2 linked regions of the Schizosaccharomyces pombe genome follow. Changing the gene in region 2 together with the main gene of any one other region gives a genetic interaction. Each region holds a gene or a part of one and is shown on either strand. Other genes may lie near its edges. The genes, in order: bdc1 and pdp2.

Region 1 (9,956 bases), 1.6 Mb from region 2:
CGAAGAAAGCAACAAACAGGTAATAGCTCTAAAGATTTAATTCCACTTTCAGAACACCAATTGGTAATATTTTCCAAAAAAAGTCTGCATCTTGTGATAGGAAGAAGGGGCTTCTCAGTAATCTGTTGAGTGGTAGCCGCATTCAAAATCAACAGAGACTTAGAAACTTCATTAGCAGAGTGAAGTTTACCTGTTAGATCGTTTACTGCTTTAAAACGAATTCGTTGAATAATTTCAGAATCTACTTCTAATGGCTTCAATCCTTCTAAAATAGAAGATACGAAAATAGGGGATTTTGAAGAGCTCAAGCCCAGCTTTCCTAAAACAACATCAACGTGTTTCTCATCCATTTCTAACAAATTTGAGACAACAATCAAAAAATCTGTTAACCCTTGAGCGGCAAATATAGAAAAAGAAGTAGTATTCTCTGCAGATGACAAATTTTTAAATCTTTTAAACAATACAGGCATTTTCCCATCTATATCATCAATTAAAAGCTCATTTAATACTGTCAAAGCATCCTTATCGCGCATAAATTTAACCACTTCACCTTTGAAGTAGCATTCAAAAGATTCCACAAATATTCCAGCATCTCGGATGGGAACATCAATTATGCTTTGTATGCCATTTTGTAAATAAATTCGTATTAACAAATAAGCAAACGTAAGGTTAAATAAAGCATCACCGTCGCATCCGGTAGTTTCAACATAATATAAAGTGTATAAGGAGGCATGGAATATATGCACAAATTGAGTACCTACGTCTGTCATATCAACATTTATGGGCTCTGAGGCAACTAAATCTAGAAATCCGAGAATAAAATCTTGGTCAATGAACAACTTGTTAGAGAAAAAAGGAATGCAAGAGGATATTTTTGCATCCCAAAAAGAGGCAGGAAACGTAAAGAAGTTTGAAGGGAGTTTTCCAAACGAATTGAAAACAAGAACACACTTATCAGCAGCTAACTTTTCATTTATAGAACCATTCAAAACCTTATTCAATGACCATTCCTGCACTTCTGAACATAGTTTAAGAGAAAAACCGGAATCTTCTAATGCTTTCTCTTTCAATAGGGAGAAGATACTTTCAAAATGAGCTGCAACATGGCCATCATCTTCTGGTTTACTGAAAAGGATCACAGGAAGCAAAGAATACAAGGATTTATTTTCATCAAATATTGTTGGAAGATGAGCTTTCAGAGAATGCAATGATGCGCACAAAATAATCAAATGATTATCAACCCAATCATTCGTAAGAAAATACTCCAAGGTCGTAAACAAAATATTTTTAATCGTTTCTTCTGGAACAAGGATTTCCTTAGACCCAATGCACGCTCTTATCATATCCCAATCGTTTCCTGGGTTTTGCATAATAGCAAATACTGCTGTATCATAGTATTCTACTAATGTTTTTACCAAGGAAATTTTCCCCCTTAGTTTTCCATCAGCAAACAAAGAGGGAAGACTATTTAAAACCCTAATATTTTCCAGTTCATCAAAGGACACTGTGAATTGATTAGCAACATTTTCCCAAGGCTCAGAGAGATCCGCGTAATCTTTAAGAAGTAAAAGAATATCACGAAGCAAAGTAAAGGCTGGAGATTGAGGCCCAAGCTTTAAAATCGAAGAAGGCAAATCATTCACCAAATATTTTTGAAAAAGTTCCTTAACGGGTTTAATCAATGTAGTATCACTGAATATGTGACAAACAGTTATTAACTGGGATGCCGATAAACATGCAATACGTTCATTTTTGTGGGTAGACAATTTCATTAAAAATGACAAACAAGGTCCCAGAATCGACATGACTTCATTTCCAGTTTGAAAATTTCTATTTTTAAGATATAAAACTGTTTGAACGGTTAAGCTTAAGTTACGTGATAAAGAATCAAATGGGATAGTTTCAATGTCCATAGATTCATCATTAAAGAAACCAAATAACACTTCGTTCCAGAGCGAGGCGAAATCTGAATTTTTATCGAATACACTTTGCAAGCAATGATCGAAATCAGACGTTGAACAGCGTAGAACAAATTCACCTTTAAAATACCTGGTAAATATAGTCCTTAAACGGTCACGGACATGATCCTTAATTTGAGGATCGGAAGAATCGGTATAAACAAATGACAAGAAATTGAGTAAACAGTCATAAACTTCAGTAGATAGGAAACGTTGTTCTTGATTTGCAGTTTCTAAGAATGCATCACACAATTCGTCTACACTTTCAATGGAAGGAACGAGCTGCATAGCGCCTATACTTTTAAACAAATTCAGCAAGGATGTGTAAAACCCAGAATTAGGAAGGCTGATTCGCTTGGTGATCAAATTTGAGAACAACTTTGAAAGAGGACGTTTTGAATCATTTGCAAATTGGTGAACCTCGTTGGGGAAATTAGAAATCATGTTACTAAGAAGCCTAAGCATAGGGACGCAGGTCAAACTAGTTAGTCGTGAAATCATTCGTGAAACACGTTTAAAATATTTCTCTTTATATTGGGTAACAAAAGGTTTATCATACTTCAAGATAATGAGCAATAAATCGCTCAGGCTCACTGTGACACCATCCTGAGGTGAGGAAACCAAAGACCAAAATTCGTCAGACTTGAAAAGTGTAGACAAGTTCTCGTAAAGAGATGACTTAAAGGTTTGCTTATCTATCTTCTTATCTGTCTCTAGATTTTCTAAATCGGCAGTCTGTTTGAAAAGAAAAGAAAGGGTCAGAAGACAGCTAGATTTAACTCTGGTAACTTTCGATTCAGCTTCTTCATTTGAAAAAAAACGCAAATCCGTTAACGATTCTTTGTCTTCATGTAAAAAAACATCAGTGACTATAGGTGCGATAGTAGATCCAAACTTCAGCCAAACATGGGGCCACTTTTCTTCGGAGAGTAAATTTTTAAAAGAGTCTTTTGCTGATACAGAGACTGCACGATCTGAATCAAAAAAACCCATAACCCAAGGTGTGATATAGAATTTGAGCCATGGTGCAAGTTTTTTTTGAAGCGCAGAAGATAGAACAGACATGAAGACAAAGATTTTTAACCGCACATGTCGTTCCACTTCTATAGATAGTCGAGGAAATAAAACTGCCAAAGCATTTAGAAACTGTTCATTGTCAAACTGTGATGGGTCATTCCACTGAATTAAATCTTGTAAAGCTCGACATTTCGTTACGATGTCACGCTTTTGCAAATTCTTCACAATAACAATCATTTCTGCGTCTAAACCAGACAAGTCTGGAGGCTCATATATCGTACTAAAATTTGAGCTGGACTCATCCAACGCAATTTGCAAGGATGAAAACGATCCTGACATCGATTGCATCCCGGGATTTTTACGGCTATAAAGAGATTAGCATTTCGGCACATACATAAAGAAAAAAGAATCGTTGTATTTTTAAACAAACTTCCCCAAAATATGGAAAAGTATGGATTTGTAATAACATAGGTGTTCTGCATATATCCAATGAGAAAGACCCTATTTTGTGTGCAAACCCATTTTGTTACCATCTTCTCACATCTTTACTTACCCGTATAAATCCGTAGATTTTTTTTTCATCTTTTTTTTTAGTTTACAATGCAATGGAATGCAGCGGATCAATTTGGCACAAAGAATGAAAAATTACAAAGGAAATCAGATATCAGTCTGTCCGACGTTATCATAGGTTATTGATAACGTTGTTTTAAGCAATTCATTGTGGTATGCAATGCTTTATAAACTGATACTTTAAAGCTTAACTATTTGTGATGACGGAAAAGGAATTAAGTAGCTTGCTAAACTGTATATCATGTCAGCAATACTACACTACGCTATGATACACTACGTTGCGTATCACTATATGTCACATGTTCTAATTATATATCGTACCATGTATGATACGATATGGAGATTGATCTTAATGATAATCTATTAAGATCAATATTATCTGAATACTATAAATAGAGCTACTGCTGAACCTCGTTCCTCAGTTCAGTTATGAGCTATATTAGTGATAGGTAACATTATAACCCAGTTAATACAATACCTATACTCAGTTGCTACTTATACAACCTGTGTATTGTAATATAATAGATCACAAGGAAAACTCACCGCAGTTCTACGTATCCTTAAATCAGATACCAAACTGCGTAGCTTACATATCAGATTCTTTAATTGCAATCGCAAAACTTATTTAAAGTAACTTATCAAACGGTGTCATCTACAAAATACCTTATCTAATTTAAGGATGCAGTAAAAATACGATGATTTTTATTGCGATCTGTTCAATATTGCGTTAGTTACAGAAAACGTTGGAAACTTGGTTAGTATGATGTGACTATCCAGCAAAATTTAAAGATTTTACGCAAAAGGTTTATAGAACATAATTCACTGGTATCATAGGAATCAATTACAATTTGACAAACTGCAATTCTATAGAAGTCTTCAAACTAAGACATTGAATTATTAAGATATGCAACATGTGTAAGGTTGGCAACTAACGTAAATTATTTAGCATTGTTGCGTTAATGAAGTTTTACAGCAATCTCTAACGAGAATTTAGGTTTTACGCGCACGCCGTATGAAGGAGGTAGTACACTACGAAAAGAAGGACTCCCTTTCTACCGTGTCTTGTCTTGTAAAATTAGTGGAGATGATGCAAGTATAGTGCATAATGAATATTGCTCAAGAGGTTGCTGTTTTACAATATCTTGATATTCAGCAAGAAAATCCTAATGCTCCCAACGAAGAACTCTTCAATCGAACGGCAGAAAGCAGCCTGCTTTTAGAGCCAATTGAACAAGATCAATTAAAGGATCTGGTCGAGGAATGGATGCATGATAGCAATAAATCTGATTCAAAGCTTCTCTCCAACCAAGTTTCTCAAAACGATAATGATGCTCGAAAAAATCTACGAAAAAGGCTGCGGAACGATGTCCTAAAGGATTTGGCTGAAGAGATACAGGGATGTGAAAAAAAACTGGAAAGCTTATATGAAGAGGTTGCAAAGGCAAAGGCAAAAGCTGTGGAGGATCAACTCGCACTTGAAGAAGCTGACAAGGAAGCAAAAAAAGCGAAAACTGAAGCTCCTGTAGAGGCTGCTAATAAATCTCTTCGTTCTAGAAAGAAAACACCAGAGATTGCAGCTCCTGCAAATATCGAACCCGAAGTTGCACCCACAACTAAGACTCCAAAAAAGCGCGCTGCCCTGTCTAATGAAGAAAAGCAGTCTTTGAAAAAGTTCCAAAGTGCAATGCTTCCTATGCTCGACAATATTTCTAATCACAGGTTTGGAGCACCTTTTAGTCATCCTGTAAATCGTAAAGAGGCACCAGATTACGATTCTTTAGTTTATAAACCTCAAGACTTACGAACATTGAAGAATATGATCAAAGAGGGTAACATCACGGAAGTGGATGAATTGTATCGAGAAGTTCTTCGAATCTTTGCTAATTGTAAAATGTACAATGGCAGCGATCCAGCCAACGCCATGTCCATATGGGGAGATGAATGTTTTCGCTACACAGAAGAGCTTTTCGATATTTATCGTCAGGCAAGTACCCGTTCTCAATGAGTGTTTTACATTTTAATTATATTCCTTAACATTTTTTGTTTATGCTTTGGATTCATATCATTTTTTGGCTATAATTTTGACGACTTGGGGGTACATATTTTTTAAATGGTACTATATTTTATTTTTATCAAATTTATGTTTTTTTTTATATCATAACCGTGTATTTATTTCGTATAGATTCAAATCAAGTATGAGATAATTTACAATTTAGTTTTTTGTAACTATATAACAGCTGGTAAAAAGTTTCAACTTCCATACGTTCATATAAAAAAAAAATAAAATCTTCAATAGGTAAAATTAAGCGTTCTTCAATGTTGACTCCATTCTATAGTACTAAGATCGACACCCTCCTGAACCAAATCCCATAACGGGCTCATATTCCTTAAGAAAGAAACTTGTCTACTCACATTTTCAATAGCATAATCAATTTCGGCTTCAGTTGTAAATCGGCCAATACCAAAACGAATAGAACTGTGAGCATTTTCATCACTCTGACCAATTGCACGCAAAACGTAAGACGGTTCTAGAGATGCGGATGTGCAGGCAGAACCAGAAGACAGCGCGATATTTTTCAAACCCATAAGCAACGATTCCCCTTCTACATAATTGAAAGAAATGTTGACACAACCTGGATATCTAGATTTAGGGTCGCCATTCAAAGATGTATATGGGATTGCAAGAAGGCCATCTATTAATCTTTGGGATAGTTTGGAAATATGTGCATAATCATACTTCATTTCTTCTTTGCATATACGGGCCGCAGTACCAAATCCCACTACTTGAGATGGAGCAAGAGTACCACTTCGTAAACCTCGTTCCTGACCTCCACCACTAATAAGCGGCTCTAAACGTACACGAGGACGTCTTCTAACATAAGCGGCTCCAATTCCTTTAGGGCCGTAAATTTTGTGAGCAGAAATAGACATTAAATCAATGTTCATTCGATTGACGTCAATGTCAATTTTTCCATATCCTTGAGCAGCATCTGAGTGAAAGAAAACCTTCTTCTGTCGACAAATTTTGCCAATCTCTTCTAGTGGTTGACAAACACCAATTTCATTATTGACGGCCATTACACTTACACAAACAGTATCAGGACGTATGGCGTCACGTAATTCATCCAAATTAATAAGGCCATTAGTTTGAACAGGTAGAAAAGTAACTTCAAACCCTTCTTCTTGGAGAGCACGTAAGGAATCCAAAACGCATTTGTGCTCAGTTTGAACGGAAACAAGATGCTTTTTCCTACTTTTGTAAAATCGGGCAACACCTTTCAAAATAGCATTATTTGATTCAGTTGCGCCAGATGTAAAAATAATTTCTCTTGGATCAGCATTGATTACAGATGCTATCTCTTGGCGTGCATTTTCAACAGCTTTTTCTGCTTCCCAGCCATAGGCGTGTGTTCGACTATGTGGGTTTCCATAAATTCCAGTGAAGAAGGGAAGCATACTATCTAGTACACGATAGTCGAGAGGAGAGGTAGCTTGAAAATCCATATATATAGGATGCAATCCCGTAACCGTACTAGCAGCGGTTTGTGCTTGATCCAAAGTTACTGTTTTCAAAGAATTTTCCGGTATGGGCTCTTGAACCGCCGTCATGTTTCCTAGCCCGTACATTTGTTCACGAGGTTTATTGCTCATTGAAGGTTTGTCCATACGACTGGAAGTCATAAACGACCTACCGTAAACTCCAAGACTCTGTCTAACATTATTAATATCCTGACTCTCTCGCTTGACAAAAAATAAAGCACTTCGTAGTTCAAGAAGGCATCTTGCTCTAGAAAGCATCAAACTTCCCATTTTGGACATGGTTGTTTCCAAAATAGAGGAAATTTTGCTAATTCTTTATTTATTTCCTAAACAACAAGAAACAAGTCCTTTTTAAAATAATTTGGCAGTTGCTAAGTTCAAATTTTGCGATCTGACTAATAAAAATTTTGGTTGGCGGCGTATCTGAAACCAACCAAAACTAAGCTTCGACCCAATACATGTAGAGCTGCGCAATTATCAGTATGTTATCATTGCATCGTAAACGACGGAGACACTGTTCAATCGAATAAAAACTGTAATAAAGAGCATAGAGACGAGCAAATTAAAATCAAATGTTTGCCTTATATTTACTATGTTTTCACCTCATCTAGATAAAAATAAAAATAAAAATAACGAGACGTTGCGTAGTATACTGTATTTGCGATTCGGCACAATTACAGGAAACGATCAGCATTGCTGCGAAGTATGCTACGTGAATACGGAGAAGGATGGTTAAGGGAATTTGAAAGGGTCAGACATACCAACTACCAGAATTACTTGATGAGCTGGAAAGGGTTTACAAAGGCACTTGCGCGTACGCCGCAGACTCTACGCAGCAAGTTTAATGTTGGAGAGATTACCAAAGATCCTATTTATGAGGATGCTGGAAGACGGTTTAAGTCTTTAGAAACGGAAGCGAAAAAGCTGGCTGAAGACGCCAAAAAGTATACTGATGCTATTAATGGGTTATTGAATCATCAAATTGGATTTGCCGATGCTTGTATTGAAATTTACAAGCCTATTAGTGGGCGTGCTTCGGATCCTGAATCGTATGAGCAAGAAGGCAATGCGGAAGGTATTGAGGCTGCCGAGGCTTACAAGGAAATTGTATACGATCTCCAAAAGAATTTGGCTTCTGAAATGGATGTTATCAACACTCGCATTGTCAATCCAACTGGTGAACTGCTCAAGATTGTTAAGGATGTAGATAAGCTTTTGTTGAAACGCGATCATAAGCAGCTGGATTATGATCGTCATCGTTCATCTTTCAAGAAACTTCAGGAAAAGAAGGATAAAAGCCTTAAAGATGAGAAGAAGCTTTATGAAGCTGAAACCGCCTTTGAACAATCTTCCCAAGAATATGAATATTATAATGAAATGCTGAAGGAGGAGTTACCTAAACTATTTGCATTGGCTCAGAGCTTCATTGCTCCCTTATTCCAAGGATTTTACTATATGCAATTAAATGTCTATTACGTTCTTTATGAAAAGATGAGTCACTGCGAAATTCAGTACTTTGATTTCAATACCGATATTTTGGAATCGTACGAAAGAAGACGCGGCGATGTTAAAGATCGCGCAGAGGCTTTGACGATTACTAAATTTAAGACCGCTAAACCGACGTATAAACGACCGGGTATGGGACCGGGTGGTAAAGATGCAACTGCTTCTTCTTCTTCTTCCTTTTCGTCAAAGCGTGAAGAAGCAGCAGCCGAACCCTCCTCTTCGACAGCTACGGATATTCCACCCCCATACTCAACGCCATCGGTTGCCGGAGCTTCCGATTATTCTACCCCAAGTGCAGGTTATCAAACTGTTCAGACGACCACTACTACAACTGAAGCAGCAGCTGCTCAATACCCTCAAGCGGCCTTTCCTCCCCCTCCAGTTATGCCTCAACCTGCTGCTGCGGCAGTGACCACACCTGTTGCTGCACCGGTAGCAGCAGCTGCAGCCGCAGTTCCCGTACCTCCACCAGCGCCTGCACCTGCTGCGGCTCCCGCCGCAGAGCATGTTGTTGCTTTATATGATTATGCTGCCCAAGCAGCCGGAGATTTATCTTTTCATGCTGGCGATCGTATCGAAGTTGTTTCACGTACTGATAATCAAAATGTAAGTACTTAAACTTAAATTTTCATTTTTTTCTTATTAAACAAGGACTTTACTAATATATATTTTAGGAATGGTGGATTGGCCGACTTAACGGTGCACAAGGTCAATTTCCTGGTAATTATGTTCAGCTTGAATAAAGCGTTTTTAAATTTACCTAGATGTGTCTTAAAATCTCGCTGCCTACTGAAGTCAATATAGAAGCTTGATTATAGGACTTGTTGTTACAGGTTACTGTTTGTGTGCGCGCTTCAACAAGTTTTACACTGCTATTCAATTTCTATCAATTTTGTCGTTCTAACTATGATGCTTAAATTTAGACATGTATTCCATACATCATCATCTCCAGTGATAATTTAACACTGTCTATGTTTGAATACTGGCTTTTTATCAACGTGTTTCCTTACTGACGTGTACTTCAAAGAGTAGCACATTTTTTGAAATGTTTTGAATAACGTAAACTTATATATATTAATTACGTTTAACTGTTTTTATTTTAATTTAACTAGTCTATCAACAAAGCTGTCCTTTCTTATATCTATACTTTAACAGTGCTAGCTAGGATTGAAGCAAAACATGATTCGAACTAGAGCTTTCATTGTGATATTGAATTTTTTGGGATTTGTAGTTTCAACAGTATAACAATCGGAATTGATGTATTCTAGCAGGAAATATACGACATACAGTATTTAGAGTCGTTGCTAAACGAGAATCGTTTAACGAACTTCGTTAACAGACAGTATTCCATGACTTAAGTGAATA
Region 2 (11,315 bases):
TATCTTTTTCATTTTCGTCAAGCGAGTGTTTAGTGGGACCAGCAGGTGTATTTTGATTATCAGTGTTTGGTGAAAGCTCTTTTGAGTTGACAGCATTTCCGTTCATCTTAGCTTTTTTTAGCTCTTTCTTTGTTGGACGATACAGACCTTTTTGATAGCGTTGAGCTTCTGTCATACAGCTAGTATGGTTTCTGTAATCGGTCCTTTCAAAAGTCGTATTGCAGTCTATACAAGTAAAGTATGCGCCATGGCAACGAGAGCGATGCTGGTCCAATTTGGGCTTTTTTATAATGTCTTGACAAACTAATTTGGTTAGCATTAAAAATGTAATCTATATAAAAACACAGCAGGAAATTCGCAGGATAATAGCGAACTTCCTGTTATAGAAAGTTACCTTCACAGCAAAATGAAACCATGTCTAAATTCTTAGTTTAATTTAATTAAGTTAATAAATGAAGTCCCCTTAAAGTAAATACTGATTTCACTATAGCGTCCTTCAATTGTGGTAGGTAAAGTTTGTTGAAAAAAATTTCGTTGAAACATCTTCACTGTGCTATGTAAAGCCGCGCATCCTATTTTTTGCACTTTTTCATTTTATTTTTTTACAATCAAATGCCTTTTTTAAAAAAATAGTAATAGTTAGAATAATGTTGTAAACCTAGCAACACTTCTTTGACAATGTTATTCAGTGTTCGAACCGTATTACTTGACACGATATAGATGGTTTGCCGTTGAGCGGTAATTATGATTTTTACCATCAAAATACGCCTACAAAAAAAGCAATAAAAGATTGATTAACTTGATTTATAAGCAAGTAAAAACAGTGCAATCCAGTTATTCAGTTCATTAAAGAAATATACATAGCTTTTAAATTATGTTAATTATTCTGTCTAGCAATCATTTAAAGCAAACTGAAGGCTAGAATAATAAGGGCAATTGGCATGTTGTAAGACTATCACAAAAAAAAAAGACAGTCTAAGGTATAAGTTGAATTGAGTTTTTTGTGGTATTGTTAAACACAACTTCCAAAAAATAAAGGTTTATTTGTTTGTTTTAGTTCTTAACGCAAAACATTTTCACTATTTTTGACCAGTTGACAAATCTACTGCTGCTACGCCATCCTCAGGTTCAGCTAGATTTGGAGTTTGTTCGGTACCATCTTCAGCAAAATCTTTACCAGCAACTTCTAAAGAATTATCGGCATCCTTGCTACTTTTCTCTTCACTTATCATGTCTTTTGAAGCATCAGCTGTTTCGTTCTCGTTTTGTGTTGGTCCGTTGGAATCAGCTTTAACTTTATCCTCGTTGTCTTCATTCTGCTTTTGATCCGTGAGCTGTTCAGCTGGTGGAGACGGCGTTGGTTTTGATTCAGAGCCTTCATCAAGAGAAGCTATCTCGGTTTCATTTTCATTTGCTATTGATGCATCCTGTGTTTGTGAAGCATCGGTTGACAGTTGTTTTTGAGATGAAATCTCCTGCAGCAAAGATTTCCATCTGTTCTCCAAAATATCTCCACATATGCTTTTGACTTCGTCCTCATTTTCTTTTGGAAGTCCAGCTAAGGAAAAAATCTTCCTCACGACAACAGCAATTTTAGTTTTCTGGATTAATGGAACATCAATACCTTGGAAGTTTGCGAGCTTGTCTAGATAATTATGAACTAATTTATAGTCGACTTGACTAAGGTCCTGTTTTGGTGATAACAGGCTGCTTTGTAATTTGTGTCGAAGAAACAACAAAGATTGCTCTCGTGAGTGAAAAGTTCTCTTTGCAACGTCTTCTTCATTAGCGACAGAGCCCTCTTCTTCTTCTTTATCCTTTTCTATCTCGTCGGAGGATGCTCTTTTAGATGAAGGGCTTTTCTTTTTAGAAGCAGCAGTACTACGCCGAGGAGAAACACGAGTTTTTTTTGCAGGGTTCGAACTAACGTTTGAGGATGCATTGAGGCGTTTTTGTGGTACGGATTCAAGTGAAGGGTCAAATGTTACGGTTTTTTTCTTTGTACCTTTCCTAGTAATGCGTCTAGCTTTCGTATCATTATAATCTTCTTCTATTGGAGATGGTTCCGACATTTCTTGGTCAGATTCTTCTTCAGAAACTTCTGATTCGGAAGAAGGAACGGACAACGAGTCCAGATCTGGTGTACTTTGAGCCATTTTATAAGCTTTAATCAAACTAGCAGTTTTTGGCTTGGGTTTTTCCAAGAATTGTGATATGGCCTCTGAAGTTAAAGGAGTAAGAGAATCAGATCCTGTCCATAGGTATTCCTTGTTGGGAAAGAAAATTACGGGATAAAATGTTCCTGCACGCTTTGGTTTAGACTTTCTCGCGACGCTGGTCATTTTGCTCTCTGTAACGACCATACTAGGCCACCATGGGAATCCCGACATTTTTGTTAAAACGCGCATTCCAGGCTTATAATTGACGCGTTCAGATTGTTTGGTTTCTTTTCTCGCATTGCCGTTAGACTTCTCAGATTTTTGACTTTTTATATCGCCAATATTATTGGAAGGCTGATCCGTTTCTATAGTTTTCCTATCTTTGGAATCAGATTCCTCTTCCAAACCTTTTGAACTTTTGTCATTTGCTTCCTTATCGTCCAAATCCTTATCATCACCTACATCCCTTTGGATTTTAATATCTTCTGCTCCATTCGAACTGGTGGTTTCGATATTTTTCGAATTGTTAGTTGCCGTTGACATTTCTCGTGATTCAACTGCAATAGAAGACTCTTCTTGTTTTCCAGGATTTTCATCCTTTACGCTTGAATCCTTTATTTCAGTCATTTTACAAAACACCGTATTACCCAAAACGTCCTGTAAAAGGTAAAGGGAAGAAGCATTAATGTGAGATGGTAGACATAATGAGCACGTAGTTCTCACCGTATCATTTCATTAACCGAAGGTTTATTCTAAATAAAATTAAGCGAGGAAGTAAGGATGCTAACGCCATTGAGTTTTACGCTATTGATCAGTAAAAGTTATAATAGTTGGAGATACTAACAAACATGTAGTAGCGGATGTTTAAAGAATTCTAAAGGCTTTTATAAATATTAGGCCCATATAAATGCCCATTACTATTAAAGAACAAAACAAATTAAGATATTAACATTTGGAAATGGACTTGTATTATTTTTTTTTAAGAAAGTTTCTAAAGTAAAAGGAAACAATAATTCAATTGATTTAATGTTTATGTGAAAAATCTAAAGGAGAACGTTTATCGGCAAAACGAGAACACAAAAACAAACCCAAAATACAACCGCTAATTCATCCAAGAAATTAGCAAAATGAAACGAACAGACTATAAATTAAGCAGAAACCACCAACAGTGATTCAATCAAAAAGGAATATTAACAGTCAAATCGCATGAACTCATATATTAGACACTTTAGGCGGCAAACTAAAGATCATGAGATCCGATCCATTCACTCCATCTCTTGACTTCTGATGGCATTTCCTTCTTCTCAGATAAAACGGAAGGGAGCTTCTCCTTCAAGGACTCAACAAACAATTTGGCGCAGTTAACATCATTAATAAGAGTGACGTTGAAGTCAACAGCATTTCTGCGCATCACATAGTCTTGATCCAAAACGTTCTTGCCGCGAGCAGAAGCCAAGTTGAAAACCGAGCGAATATTGTATTTTTCAAATATAGCACGTAAAGCACGCTTGTCCTTAACAGGGAACTCAACGACTTCAGCAGAGGTAGGCTGTAATAATTTAGCAGCATCTTTATTAGCAACGTAAAGTTTATATCCAAGCTTGGAAAGGTCAGCAGCAATACCAGCAAGTTCAGGTCGATCACCACCTAAAAGTATACCTTGACCTGGAAGAGGAATCTTAAAGTTTTGAGTAGACTGAAGTGCAGCCCAATAGGCTTCCTTTACATCCTTACCGAAACAAGCAACTTCACCAGTGGAGCTCATTTCAACACCAAGGTAAGGGTCAGCACCGGCCAAACGTGTCCAGGAGAACTGGGGAACTTTAACGCAAACATAATCACGATGCACAGCCATCAAATCACGAGCAGCTGGTACTTCTTGATCAATAATAGAACGAGTAGCAACGTCAATGAAGTTAACGCCAAGAGTCTTGGAAACAAAAGGGAATGAACGAGAAGCACGAAGGTTACATTCAATAACCTTCAAGTCAGGAGTATCAGGTTTATCAGGGTTTTGGGCCAAGATAATTTGCATGTTGTAAGGACCAGTAATTTGGAAAGCTTTGCATACTTTCTCGGCTATTTCTTTACATCGGCTTAAAATATCTTCGCTAAGTGAGTAAGGAGGAAGGGCGATAGTAGCATCACCAGAGTGAACACCTGCGTTTTCAACATGTTCCGAAACGGCATGAACTAAAAGTTTACCCTTGGAAGCAACAGCATCAACATCGAGTTCCCGAGCACCCTCGATAAACTTGGTAATGACAACTGGATGATCAGGAGAAACAGCTGAAGCATTTTCTAACTTATCCTTTAGACTAGATTCATCGCGAATAACACTCATGGCAGCACCAGATAAAACATAGGAAGGACGTACTAAAACAGGATAACCAACTGCATTTGCAAATTTGCTTGCCTCGGCTACAGACGTAAGCTCTTTCCAAGCAGGTTGGTCAACACCAATTTTGTCTAAAATCTGAGAAAATTTATGACGGTCTTCAGCTGAATCAATCATCAAAGGATCAGTACCCAATACCTTAGCACCAGTCTCTTGTAACTTCAAGGCGATATTTTGAGGAAGTTGACCACCAACACTTACTACAATGCCAGATGCGGTTTCCATCTCGTAAATATCCATAACTCTTTCATAGGACAATTCTTCGAAATACAAACGCTCACACTCGTCAAAGTCAGTAGAAACAGTTTCAGGATTATAATTAACCATAATGGTGCTATGACCAAGTTTTCTAAGAGTACGAGCACAAGAGACACCGCACCAATCAAACTCAACACTTGAACCAATACGGTAGACACCAGATCCAAGAACCATAGTTCCATGTTCATTAAAATCTATGTCATGAGAGGATGCGTTGTAGCTAGTGTACAAGTAGTTCGTATGTGCCGGGAATTCTGCTGCGAGGGTATCGATCTTCTTAACCCAGGGATGAACATCAAGACGTTTTCTACGAGCGCGAACGTCTAATTCAGAAGCTCCGACAAGCTTGGAGATTTGAAGATCAGAGAAACCAGTCTTTTTAGCACGCAACATGATTTCTTTATTAAGTCCATACAAAGAACCAATTTCTTCCAACTCTTTGTAAACCTTAGCCATATTCGCGAGTTTGCTCAAGAACCATTTGTCAATCTTGGTCAAATCATGAATTTTATCAATAGAATAGCCTTGGTTAAGCATTGCCTCAACAACAGCAAAGAAGCGACGATCGGTGGGTACACTGAGGGCATTGTCTAAATCCTTGAAGGGCATGGCCATAAAACCCAAAAAGGAGGGATCGACTTGACGCAATGCCTTTTGAAGAGATTCCTCAAAAGTACGACCAACGGCCATAACTTCACCGACACTTTTCATGGAAGATCCAATTTCGCGATTGACGTATTGGAACTTGCTCAAATCCCAACGGGGAATCTTAGTAACAACATAATCCAAAGAGGGTTCAAAGTTAGCAGTGGTAGTTTTAGTAACAGCATTGGGAAGTTCAGGAAGAGTGTGACCTAAAGCAATTTTTGCAGCGGTGTATGCCAATGGGTAACCGGTGGCCTTAGAGGCCAAAGCAGAAGAACGAGAAAGACGAGCATTTACCTCGATAACACGATATTCCAAACTGTTGGGACTCAACGCATATTGCACGTTACACTCACCGACAACACCTAAGTGACGGATAATCTTAATGGCAGCAGTACGGAGCATATGATATTCTTCATCAGAAAGGGTTTGAGAGGGGGCAACGACGATGGAATCACCAGTATGGATACCAAGAGGATCAAAGTTTTCCATGTTACAGACGGTAATGCAATTGTTAGCAGCATCACGAACAACTTCGTATTCAACCTCTTTCCAGCCTTTCAATGATTTTTCAACCAAAATTTGGGGGGTTAAAGACAATGACTTAGCAGCCATCGATTGCAATTCCTCCTTATTGTTTGCAAAACCAGAGCCAAGACCTCCAAGGGAATACGCTGAACGGATGATAACAGGGTAACTAACCTTTTCGGCAGCCTGAAGAGCTTCATCGACGGTAGAAACTGCAACTGATTCAGCAATAGGAATATTGATCTCGTTCAAAGCCTTGGCAAATAAATCACGATCTTCGGAAGTTTTAAGAGTGGAAATTGGAGTACCCAACACCTTGACATGATTACGGGCAAAGACACCCATGTCGTCCAATTGGATACCTACATTAAGGGCAGTTTGACCACCGAATGTAAGGAGAATGCCATCAGGGTTTTCACGTTCAATGAGGTGGGTAAGGTATTCAGCAGTGACAGGCAAGAAGTAGATCTCATCAGCTAAGCTATGAGAGGATTGGATAGTAGCAATGTTAGGATTGATAAGAATAGTATGGACAGAGCTTTCGCGCAAAGCTTTAATAGCTTGAGCGCCCGAATAATCGAATTCACCGGCTTGGCCAATGGATAAACCACCAGAGCCGACTACAACGACTTTCTTAACTTTCTCATGCTCGGCGGCCTTAATATGACCAGAGCGGATATAAGCATTGGCATCTGGGGTATTACTTTCTTTAACCTTATCGTTAAAGTTTGTGGCACTGGCGGAAATTTTGCGATGTGGAACACCGGACCATTGAGGAAGCAAGTGTTTACTCAATTGAGATACACCAGCAGTTTCAAGAACTCTGTTAGACCCAAGAAAGGCTTTAGAAATGCCAGGAATGGCACGACGCATTGACGTAGCCCACAATGCCATTTTCACCTGCAATCCAAGCTACTTTTTTCAATTACTTACTATGAAACAAGCAGAGATGCTGGTTCGAATGGAGCAGCTGGATTAGTTTTTAAAAAATAGAACAAGGGGTGTTTGCAAAAGCTAAGAGAACAAACTCTTCTTAAGCTGAAATTTGTGACTTGCTTCTATTGATCTTTGATCTTAACTCTCACAGTACTGATAATGATGATAAGGAGATAAATGTAATGCAGCAAGTTTTTCGATATGGAAAGATTCGTGGTAGATAGCCAACTTCGATATATAATAATTAAGGAATCCTATGAAAAATGCCTTAACTTACAATTAACGATCAGGAATTTTTGGAGTATACATATAGTATTAACGAAAAAATATTGGTTAATGGATTTGCTTTAAGCAAGGGTGTTTAAATCTGGTAAAGGCAGTAAATGCAGGATTATTACTATCGATAGTTGAGCTCAGTTTAAATGTTTTAAATGATACAACAATTCGTATAATTAATAACAGCCCATTCTTTACAACTGATAATGAGATGTGGGATTACTTTTTTCTAATACTGATTACAAAAGAATAGCACATAAGCTGTACACAATTAGCCGCAAAAGAAAAAAAATTTCTTCTTTTAAACTGTTAAAACAAACGTTCAAATTCTTTTCATCTACGCGACTTCTAAATTGTATAAATGTGTAAGATGTAAATCGCCTTTTTAAACAAAAAAAAAAGAAAAAGAGAGGTTTCTCAAATCGTTAAAGGATGATAATGTCTAAACTCTTTCGATAACAATGGATGAAGCACCACCACCACCATTGCAAACAGCAGCTACACCAATCTTGGCATCCTTCTGAGCAAGAATATATGCCAAAGTACAAATGATACGAGAACCACTGCTACCCAAGGGATGACCCATGGCAACACCACCTCCGTTAATGTTAACACGCTCGGGATCTAATCCAAGAATTTTGGTGTTGGCAACAGCAACAACACTAAAGGCTTCATTGATCTCGTAATAGTCAACTTGGGAAGCTTCAATACCTGCATGCTTGAGAGCTTTGGGAATAGCAAGGGAAGGAGAAGTGGTAAAACGCTCAGGATCTTGAGCGGCTTCACCCCAACCAATAATTTTAGCAAGAGGCTTAAGACCAAGTTCTTTCACTTTGGCAGCCGACATGAGAACAAGAGCGCTAGCACCATCGTTCAAGGTAGAAGCATTAGCAGCAGTGACGGTACCGTTACTCTTGAAGACAGCACGTACGGATTTGAGTTTGTCTTCGTTAAGGTTCTTGGGCTCCTCGTCCTCAGTAACAAGCTTGTTGGGCTTACCACGACCAACAGGGACCTCGACGGGGACGATTTCTTGTTCAAATGCCTTTGTAGCTTGAGCGTTTTGAGCACGTTTGTAAGAAGAAATGGCAAAGGCGTCTTGACTGGCACGGTCAATGCTGTGTTCCTCAGCGCAAAGCTCGGCAGCATTACCCATGGGAAGTCCATCATATGCATCAGATAAACCATCACGTAAGAGACCGTCAACCAACTCAACGTTACCGTATTTGGCACCAAAACGGTTCTTTGGGGCATAGTAAGGAGCATTTGACATGCTCTCGGTACCACCAGCAACGACAATCTCAGCATTTCCAGTCATGATAGTTTGAGCACCGAGAATTGTTGCCTTCATACCAGAGGCACAAACCTTGTTAACAGTAGTACAAACGATGGAACGAGGGAGTCCAGCACCTAAGGCGCATTGACGAGCAGGGTTTTGGCCAAGATTGGCTGAGACGACATTACCCATAAACACCTCATCAACATCAGAAGGCTTAATATTGACCCTTTCAAGAGCGCCCTTGATGGCAATAGAGCCTAATTTGGTGGCAGGAAGAGAAGCGAAACTGCCGCCAAAGCTGCCCATGGGTGTGCGAACAGCAGACACAATGTAAACCTCTCTATAAAGAAAATGTTAGGAAATTTATAAATGAATCAAGTTTCACTTTAATATCACATACGTGTTAACCATTTCTTAATATGTCAAAGAATATACAAGCCAAAAATGTATATGATGAATGGTGGTTTTGCGCACGTTGTGCCATATATACTAGTACTATAATGCGCGATACCAGGGTAAGGTGAGTGTATTGTATTCTTTCAAAAGGTAACGTTCGACATCTCTAAGCAAAACTTTGCGCTGTATAATTTGTCAGCAATACTACACTACGCTATAATACACTACATTGCGTATCACTATATGTCACATGTTCTAATTATATATCGTATTATGTATGATACGATATTGAGATTGATCTTAATAATAATCTATCAAGATCTATATTATCTGAATACTATAATTAGAGCTACTGCTGAACCTCGTTCCTCAGTTCAGTTATAGGCTATATCAGTGATAGGTAACATTATAATCTAGTTAATACAATACCTATACTCAGTTGCTACTTATATTACCTGTGTATTGCGATATAATAGACGACAAGGAAAACTCACCGCAGTTTTACATATCGTTAAAACGAATACGAAACTGCGTAGCTCACATAATTTGTGTAAAGCGTAATTGCTGGACACAACTGTAAGCACAATTAAGGTAAAATAGCGGTTTATGAGGTAGTAATATGCAATTCTATCGAACAAATCAATTGATGAATGGACTAATGCTATTTGCTAATGATGTTGTTTCCTACTTAATTTACAAGTGTGAAGATTTCTAAAGGTTTTTGAGAATTAAAACATATTTGCAGTTTAAGGAATTGAGACAATTGTTACGGTGGTAGAATAAAAATCTTCTAACATGGAAAATTAATACGCTGAAAAATTCACAGATCAAAATTTGTTGAGCCTAAAAAATTATTATTATTGAAAAAAAGCATAAAAGGATTAATCAAGCAATTAAAAGGCCACGGTTGAAATACGAAGCCAACTGAGAAGAGATTTATTCGAAATGGTAAACAAAAAAAATAAAAAGAAAGCTATTCTTTGCTTTCTATATAAGTTTGAGTTAATGAATTTTAGTATTAAAATAAAATTTAATGATTAAATATGACAACTTGATAAATTGATAGATCCAACTAAATATTATTACCTTTTTCTTTGTTTACTTTTATTTTTCCAGCTCATTTCCAGCTCATAATTAATTTCTACATAAGGACATCGCTAGTTAGAAGTTTAATAAGGAGTCTTACAATGTCTATACGACGGTGAATTAGTTCCTGTGTAGTCTCTGTTCTGGTGAAACTGTAAGTGTAGCGAAAGGCAACTGCTCTGGGCTCAAGGTCCCAAAAGTATAGTTGTACTAATGTCAAAGAACTTCCCACAGTTTGAGCTACAGAATTTCACGTAGCAGAAAAATGTATAATAAAAATCCTAATGAAAAAATTTCAAAGAAAATAAAGAAAGGAAAATTAAATAATCTCTCCATCTTTTTTTGAACAAAGCTAGCGTTAACTTGTTGTCTAAATAATTTTTTGCATTTTTTGTTTACATGTTTATTCAAACAGCTGTTTGCTCTTCTTTCCTTCTCACTACAAACGCATACCCTTCATTTTACAAACCCTCCATACTCGTCTTGCCGTACAATATCTCTTTCTGTTTTAATAACGCGCCGGAGTGGGATCGAGATCTTGACTACCGAAGGTCCGGCATTCAACATGCTTTTGTCATCCCAAAAGTGGGGAATGCTACTTAAAGTTATTTAAACACCCCACAACCTTTGTATTCACAAACCAAAGGGATCACCTCAGCTGTGAACGACAGGTACGCTTCTTCAATACAGCAATATTAGTCAGCAAGTTATATTGTATCTGTGTCATCTTTCGGGCTATAAATACAAATACGATAGATCATTGTGGGTATTTGTGAAAACAGTTACTTTGATTTTTAAATAAATTGATCAATTGTTTATCATAGACAGGTAAATTGGACGTTAACAGTGTTTTGATTAAAAATCTCATACAAAAAAGAAAGATGCCGTCTAAAGAAATTGACATTAATCAAAAGAAAAACGTCTTACCTAAACCGGAGGATATTCAACTCATTATCTGTGATGTTGATGGTACTTTGCTGGGACCGGATCATAAGCCACATCCGCGAAACCTTCGTGCTTTAAAGTATCTTCGTGAAAATTATCCTCAGCTACCTTTTGTGTTAGCTACTGGTAGACAGCGAACATCCGTAGGTAATATCAGAGAAGCGTTAGGTTTACATGTCTTTCCTTGTGTTCACCTTAACGGCTGCGTAGTTTACGATAAAGGTGAAATCGTTGCTTGCGCAGCTCTTAAAAACTCTTTAGCCATCGATATTATTGATAAGCTCAAAGACATCCAAACGTGTGCACTTTTCGGTTACGATGAAGATTACGTTTACCAAATTAAACAGGAATCGGATAAAAAACAACATGGTATTAAGTTTTTGCGACTCTGTGGGGAAACAGTAAAGGA

The links.
Region 1: mutations in pdp2 (region 2) and bdc1 together harm fitness more than expected from each alone (negative genetic interaction), as found in Schizosaccharomyces pombe (2 studies listed by BioGRID).

Annotation. Positions count from the first base shown.
Region 1 is NC_003423.3:2,420,168-2,430,123, reverse strand, and holds bdc1 (bromodomain-containing protein 1), read left to right. Parts: upstream 1-4,599; 5' UTR 4,600-4,650; coding exon 4,651-5,550; 3' UTR 5,551-5,709; downstream 5,710-9,956. Other genes in the region: rkr1 (ubiquitin-protein ligase E3), read right to left, coding at 1-3,339, 3,529-3,557; cysteine desulfurase Nfs1, read right to left, coding at 5,859-7,364; BAR adaptor protein Hob1, read left to right, coding at 7,866-9,197, 9,266-9,334.
Region 2 is NC_003423.3:4,038,337-4,049,651, forward strand, and holds pdp2 (PWWP domain containing protein), read right to left. Parts: upstream 2,834-11,315; 5' UTR 2,787-2,833; coding exon 1,080-2,786; 3' UTR 838-1,079; downstream 1-837. Other genes in the region: SPOM_SPBC215.06C (LYHRT family protein), read right to left, coding at 1-303, 395-416; arginine specific carbamoyl-phosphate synthase Arg4, read right to left, coding at 3,400-6,882; acetyl-CoA C-acetyltransferase Erg10, read right to left, coding at 7,643-8,819, 8,880-8,890; odr1 (haloacid dehalogenase-like hydrolase ), read left to right, coding at 10,843-11,315.